2 linked regions of the Danio rerio genome follow. Each later gene encodes a partner of the first gene's protein in a complex. Links are inferred from orthologs where the notes say so. Each region holds a gene or a part of one and is shown in the gene's direction. Other genes may lie near its edges.

The links. The genes of interacting proteins can lie anywhere in the genome.
Region 2: cacna1c (region 1) and cacnb3a share a complex: the UniProt entries of both Homo sapiens proteins name them as parts of the calcium channel complex. The link is inferred for Danio rerio from reciprocal best matches to the Homo sapiens genes CACNA1C and CACNB3.

The regions. Positions count from the first base shown.
Region 1 is NC_133179.1:21,064,522-21,068,021, forward strand, and holds part of cacna1c (voltage-dependent L-type calcium channel subunit alpha-1C), read left to right. Parts: intron 1-433; coding exon 434-774; intron 775-898; coding exon 899-925; intron 926-2,712; coding exon 2,713-2,829; intron 2,830-2,938; coding exon 2,939-3,060; intron 3,061-3,151; coding exon 3,152-3,249; intron 3,250-3,337; coding exon 3,338-3,500. UniProt on the Homo sapiens protein: Pore-forming, alpha-1C subunit of the voltage-gated calcium channel that gives rise to L-type calcium currents. Mediates influx of calcium ions into the cytoplasm, and thereby triggers calcium release from the sarcoplasm.
Region 2 is NC_133198.1:15,636,228-15,640,518, forward strand, and holds the start of cacnb3a (voltage-dependent L-type calcium channel subunit beta-3a), read left to right. Parts: upstream 1-1,491; 5' UTR 1,492-1,739; coding exon 1,740-1,820; intron 1,821-4,291. UniProt on the Homo sapiens protein: Regulatory subunit of the voltage-gated calcium channel that gives rise to L-type calcium currents. Increases CACNA1B peak calcium current and shifts the voltage dependencies of channel activation and inactivation.

The DNA.
Region 1 (3,500 bases):
ATGTACATTTTTTTCATAAAAATTGCTTGACAGATTTTGACAACTAGTTCAACATTTTTATATGTAATAACTGAAGTAATAAATTAATATTAATAAAATATGAGGACTATTAGTTTTATATAGAATGACTGTTCAGCATTCACAAGTTTAGTTAACTTTGAGTAACATGACATAAGCAAATTATAATGTTATAAAACAGCAGAGAGTTGTATGAAAGCAATTGATGCATGCCCAAAAGCATTTGCAAATTGTTGGAAGGAATGAAAACCTGCTACTATGATGTGCACAAATGAGAAATACATTAACTGTTGTGCAAATGTAAATGCGCCAAAGCGACCGAGAAAAACTGTAATACCAGACGTAAACAAGGTCTTTGGGGCAGGTGGAGGCGGGGATAAATTTTCATAGAAGTGACACATGTTTATCTTTGCAGCGGTCTGGTGGCCTCTTCGGTAACCATGTAAACTACTACCATCAGAGTGATGGCCACGTCTCCTTCCCACAGTCCTTCACCACACAGCGGCCATTGCACATCAGTAAATCCGGGAGTCCCGGCGAGGCTGAATCTCCCTCTCATCAGAAGCTGGTGGACTCCACCTTCACTCCCAGCAGTTACTCTTCCTCAGGATCCAACGCCAACATCAACAACGCCAACAACACCGCCATCGGACACCGCTATCCCAAACCTACTGTCAGCACGGTGGACGGACAAACAGGGCCTCCTCTCACCACCATCCCACTGCCACGACCCACATGGTGCTTTCCTAACAAGAGGTATGATGACACATGCGTTCTGTGTTTGATTGCTGATGCACGGGTTATCGTAGATGTTCAGGTTTGTCAGATTCTAGTTCCTGATTATGGTTTGTCTCATTCCTGATTGTTTCTTGTGAACCAGGAGCTGTTTCTATGACACTTTCATGCGGTACGTTCTTCTCACAGAAACCAAGAGAGACCTCATGACTTTGTAGGGCTGTTCATGTATGCTCTGCCATACTGTGGTGGATCTGAATCTCAGTGTGTTGAAAGATCCACTCTGTACCTAACAATGACTGTCAGGATTTGTGAGCAGCTTTCCTGATTGGCTGATAACTGAATGAGCATGTCTTAGGCCAGCGGATTTCAACTGGTTTTGCAAAACATGAAGTTTGGTTCATGTTACTTGAAGATAAATGGATCTGACACAATGTTCTGAATGTTTTTACAAAGAACACAGTGATCTTGTTACAAACTTTAACTACTCTAAAATCCATTATAGGCTACAATAACCCATAATGAAATTCTAAATCTTATCCTTTATAATTAAATCATGTTACTTTTTATATGAGAGCTGCATGGACCACAAAGGTCGATTTTAAGACCTTTTATTGCTCATTCAATGTTGATTCGATTTTAATTTCTCTTAATGATTAAAGGCTATGCTTTAGAGTTTTTTTTTGTTTTTATAACTTATGATTAACATATGCTACTCCCTCACAATATGTTGGCCAAAATGGCTGGAGTCACTTTTGCTTGTTAATAGATATGATGAGACATGCACAGAATATAGCGTGTAGCTAATGGACACAATTTCCCATAAAATCTGTTCTTATTATACTTATTGTAGGCTAATGGTAGTGTTTGAAGGTTTTTAAATAACTGATTTGGAAGATGGATTAACAATTTAGTTGCTCGTTATTGCATTTTGGATATTTTGAGCATAAAATTACATAATAAAAGTCATTTAAGTTGAAGTTTAAAGTATCAAAACCACAAAATCTTTATTGAACTTAAATACATAAAAAAAGACTAAAACAAGTTTACTAAAACAAAAATATAAGCTGAAAATATAAAAAGAAAAAGGCTACACAGTATAGTAATATATTATATAAATACTAAAGTTACACTGATCACAGATATAGGAAATACTATAAGATTTGATTTGATAATGCTTTGATTTAAATTATTGAAATGGGTTAAGTCCTCATGCATTTACTTTGTAATAAAAATTGTACCATACAGCAGTTTTATAAATAGGCATGTGCTATATGGTTAGCTGCATTAGAAAGCATTTACATTTTCAATTATTTATTTTTCTTGCTATTAGACTTACCAGTTGAGAACCGCTCTGCTAGGCAATGTAGATGCGTGTATGTGTGCGTCTGTATGTGTGTGTGTGTGTGTGTGCGTGAATGAGTGTGTGTGTGAAGTTCATCATCATGGTCATTTCCAGGCTATTTTTAAGGGGCTCTTCATTTAGACCAAAATGCAAAGGAATCATTTTAACAAGTCATTTTTGCAAATCATTAAACAGCCGGTATTAAGTTGTTTTGTTAATCTGTTTTTTGTGTGTGTGTGTGTGTGTGTGTGCTGCCAACAGATGCAAAACAATCATACAAATTCTTTGCTTTTATGGAGGGTCTTTATGTAGTACCCCTTGAACTACTATAAAAATCATAAGGTTTCATGAAAAAAAAAAATTGTGCTTCTATAATGTGACACAATCATTCAAAACTTCGTCATAAGGTTTGTTAGACATCAGCGCTTCAGACAAAACAAACCTTACGCTGCTATAATTGATTGTTCACATTGTAAACAGCCTTATGAGAGCTTCAAGAGAATTGTTTTTAATTGTAGGTTAAGTGAGGTTTCTCACTTTCTAAAACAGTGTTGTTAAACATGTGCAGTTGTGCTTTTAGTTCATCTTAGTGTGTTTATGTGTGTTTTGTTTAGCTCTGATTCCAGTGACAGTCGTCTCCCTATAATACGGCGAGAGGAAGCATCTACAGATGAGACATATGATGAAACATTTTTAGATGAGAGAGATCAGGCCATGCTCTCCATGGACATGTAATACTTGACTTGTTTTATTAGATTCTTTGTACGAGTATTTTTATATATATATATATATATATATATATATATATATATATTCTCTGAATGTGTGTGTGGGGTACAGGCTGGAATTTCAGGATGAAGAAAGCAAGCAACTGGCTCCTATGGTGGAGGCAGAAGTAGGGGAGGAGAGAAGGCCGTGGCAGTCTCCACGGCGACGGGCCTTCCTCTGCCCTACTGCACTGGGTAAATGAGCAAATTTATTACTGTTAGGATGAATCTATACAATGAGTAGCTCCATGACCATGAAGTCACATGTACTTCCTTCCTAACACAGGTCGACGGTCTTCCTTTCACTTGGAGTGTCTGAGAAAGCATAACAGACCTGACGTTTCTCAGAAGACAGCACTACCATTGCACCTAGTGCATCATCAGGTAAGTTCATGCACATTTGCATAAACACTCATGAATGACAGGGTTATTTTCTGTCCTTTTCACTTTTTTCATCTTTTGGTTCTCAAAGGCTCTGGCCGTGGCAGGGTTAAGTCCCTTGCTGAGACGGAGTCACTCTCCGACACTGTTCACACGTCTGTGTTCCACACCTCCTGCGAGTCCCAGTGGCCGCAGCGGTGGAGGCCCATGCTATCAGCCTGTGCCCTCTCTGCGGCTGGAGGGCAGCGGATCTT
Region 2 (4,291 bases), on another chromosome or scaffold:
GTGCATGCCAAAGCACAAACCAAGCATGAAGACAAAGGAATTTTCTGTAGACCTCAGAGAGAGGATTGTCTTGAGGCACAAGGCTGGGGAAGATTACAGAAAGATTTTTGCTGCCCTGAAAGTTCAAATGAGCACAGTGGCTTCCATCATCCATAAGTGGAGGATGTTTGGAACCACCAGGATGCTTCCTAGAGCTGGCCGGCCATCTAAGCTGAGTGATCGGGAAGAAGGGCCTTAGTCAGGGAGGTGATCAATACCTCGATGTTTACTCTGTGTGAGCTCCAGTGTTCTTCTGTGGAGAGAGGGGAAATTAACAGAAGGACAACCATCTGTATAGCAATCGACCAATCAGACCTGTATGGTAGAGTGGCCAGATGGAAGCCACTCTTTAGTAAACGGCGCATAGCAGCCCACCTGAAATTTGCCAAAAGGCATCTGAAACGAAATTCTCTGGTCTGATGAGACTAAAATTGAGCTCTTTGGAGTGAATGCCAAACGTTACGTTTGGAGAAAACCAGACACCGCTCATCACCAGGCTAATAGCATACCTACAGTAAAGCATGGTGGTGGCAGCATCATGCTGTGAGGATGCTTTTCAGTAGCAGGAACTGGAAGACTAGTCAGGATAGAGAGAAAGATGAATGCAGCAATGTACAGAGACATCCTAAATGAAAACCTGCTTCAGAGTGCTATTGACCTCAGACTGGAGCAACAGCTCATCTTCCAACAGGACAATGACCCAAAGTACACCACCAAAAAATCAATAGAGTGGCTTCACAAAACTCTGTGAATGTCCTTGAGTGGCCCAGCCAGAGTCCGGAACTAAATCTTATTGAACAGCTCTGGAAAGATCTGAGAATGGCTGCAAACCATCGCTTACCATAAAGCTTGAGAGGTTCTGGAAAGAGGAAAGGGCAAAAATTCCCAAAATAGGGTGTGCCAAGCCTGTGGCATCATATTCAGAAGACTTGAGGCTGTAATTGCTGCCAAAGGTGCATCAACAAAGTATTGTGCAAAGGCTGTGAATACTTATGTACATGTGATTTTTCAGCTTTTTCATTTTTTAAAAATTTTCAACAATTAATTTTTTTTTCACATTATCATTATTGGGTATTGTGTGGAATATTTTGAGGAAATAAATGAGTTTAATCTGTTTTGCTATAAGGCTGTAAAAAAATGTGGAAAAGGTGAAGCACTATGAATACTTTCTGGATGCACTGCATAATATATATATATATATATATATATATATATATATATATATATATATATATATATATATATATATATATATATATATATATTCCTTTAAATAGGCTAAAGATTTCTGGTGACTTATGAGTTGTAGTTTGCAACATTGTATGGAAGACTAATATACATGATGTACAGTACAAGAGAGGCAAATATAGAATGCTCTGGAGAGAGAGAGAGAGAGAGAGAGAGAGAGAGAGAGAGAGAGAGAGAGAGAGAGAGAGAGAGAGAGAGATCATTACAAAACGCGCATGCACAAGAAACAGACACATTGCATTTGTCCACCTGTATTACTATCTTGATTTACGAAACCCAGCGCGAGGGAATTAATCAACGGCTCCGTGCGAATGCAGTCAAACAGAAGGCGGTTTTCCTGTTCAACCGTGATACTCTCTTCTTCCTCGGCGGTCATGTGTGTTTCGCATCGCTGTTTCTTCCAGTAAGCACCAATGCATGCATGCACCCGCCTCCCCTGCGCTCTCAAATAGATGGTGCAAGTAAAGATGTCCAAATCTTCCGCAGACCCTCTGTCTGGGGTAGAAAGCGCTTCTCAGTCGCACTATTTCCAGGTAAGACTTTTGGGGGGGATTTGTATACGTTGTCGCAAATGGTTAATTTGCTGCTACTTGTTGTTGAGCAGTCGTGCATTTAAGCGCTTCATATATCCGCAGAGGGCTACAGCTACACAATCTGCCCGTGTATAACGCCTTTATCGCGCTTTTAATCAGACGCGCGCAGTTTTAATGAGGCGAGATGTTGATCAAATGTGTTGATGCTTCTCCATCCGCCAAACTCACATTTCTTGTTTTTTTCCCCTCCGCCCTGAGATTTCACACCGCAACCGAGGCCTCATCTTTCGGGCCAGGCATCAGTAGACACAGTGTTCATTAAACAGTTCAAACACAGTCAATTTCTACTGAGTTTTGATAAACGGGGTTACAATCTCGTTCAATACTCTTATGGTGGACCATTGTCGGTCAAGGTTCTCACCTGTAGCCAACATCCGTCCATTGGTCACCTGTTTCTGCTTGAAATTATAGATTAATCTAGTTGCTGTGTTTTTAACCTGTTAGCTGGTAGGTCTGCGTTAGCTATTATTTGGTTAAAATAGTATTATTTAGTTCATGAATCTTATACGGATAGACCACTTTGGACTGGCATCAACACTGTATCAACTGGTCATACTAGTTCAGGAGGTTTTTTGGGAATTTATATGGTCAGTTAGCATCAAAAGTTAATCATGTTCCTCGGCAGAGCTACCATCTTAACCTGATTTTACAATACGGTCTCAAGGCAGTTTGTTAATTTTGACTTATTTTTCTATTTTGGGGAACTGGTGGCTACATTTTAACCAAATTGCTGTTAGTCAAGATGGTTAGCTTTAGAATAGACAAATTTTCTGTAAACTGAATAGTTCTGAATGGTTCTAAAGAAAAGAAAAAAAAACATCGTATGACGAAGACAAAGTACAGTCAGAATCTAGACTAATTTTGCTGTAACTTACACAAAATAGTTTTTAATCATCCTAATGAAAAACATCAGCTGACTAAAACAAAGTACAGTCAGAATCACTCATTAAAAGTCACTAATTTAATTTCTGTATGGTAGACCCTTACTGGTCAAAACAAAAGTCTCACTTGTGGCCAACACCAGTCCATCGGGCATCTGCTACTGCTTGAAATGATAGATTAAGCTTGTTTCAGTGTTTTTGAACATGCGAGCTGGTTTCTGCACACCTAATTTGGCTATTATTTAGTTAAAAATACTTAATATCTGGTCCAAGCTTGTGTGTAGACCACTTGACTAGCACCAACACTACCAGCTGGTCATTCTGGGGTTCAGGTGGGTTTTTGAGAAACGGTATATGGTCAGCTAGCATGTAAACAAAGGTTAATCACAATTCTCAACAGAGCTACCATCTTAACCTGGTTTTACAATACGGTCTCAAGGCAGTTTGTTCATTTTGACTGATTTGTCCATTTTGGCGAACTGGTGGCTAAAGTTTTAACCAACTAGCAGTTAGTCAAGAGGGTTAGCCTTAGATTAGACCAATTTTGCTCTAACTGACACAAATAGTTCTGAATGGTCCTAAAGAAAAAAAAAATTACATGATGAAGACAAAGTATAGCCATCTAGGGATTAGTATTGTTAAATAAAGTTTAAAAATCACTCATTCAAATCCCTTATGGTAGAGTCCATTGGTCACCTGTTCTTGCTTGAAATGCTATAGATTAAGCATGTTGCATTGTTTCCGAATATGCTAGCTGGATTCTACACACCTAAATTGGCTATTATTTGGTTCAAAAGAGTAAATATCTCCTCCAAGCTTGTCTGTAGACCACTTTGGACTGGCATCAACAGTGAACCAGCTGGTCATATGGGGTTCAGGTCGGTTTTTAGGAAATGGTATAGGGTCAGCTGCATGTAAACAAACGTTGATCACGTTGCTCAACAGAGCTAAGCTGATTTTACAATACGATCTCAAGGCTGTTTGTCCATTTTGACTTATTTGTCTATTTTGGTGAACTGATGGCTACATTTTAACCAACTAGCAGTTAGTCAAGAGGGTTAGCCTTAAATTAGACCAAATTTCCTGTAACTGACACAAAATAGTCCTAAAGAAAAAAACATTAGATAACAAAGACAAAGTAGAGTTAGAATCTAGGGATTGGCATTGATGAACAAAGTTAAAAAGTCCCCCATTTAATTCCCTTATGGTTAACCCTTATTTATATATATATATATATAACCTGTCTCATTTGTAGCCAACATCGGTCACCTAGCTGTTGTTGCTTGAAATACTATAGATTAAGCTAATTCCAGTGTTTTTGAACATGCTACCTCATTTCTATACACCCAAATTGGCTATTATTTGGTTAAAAAGAGTAAATATCTGGTCCAAGCTTGTCTGTAGACCACTTTGGACTGGCATCAACACTGTACCAGCTGGTCATACTGGGGTTCAGGAGGATTTTTGAGAAATGGTACTGTACATGATCAGCTGTTTAGTTTGTAATTAATTGCCAACATACTGTAAATC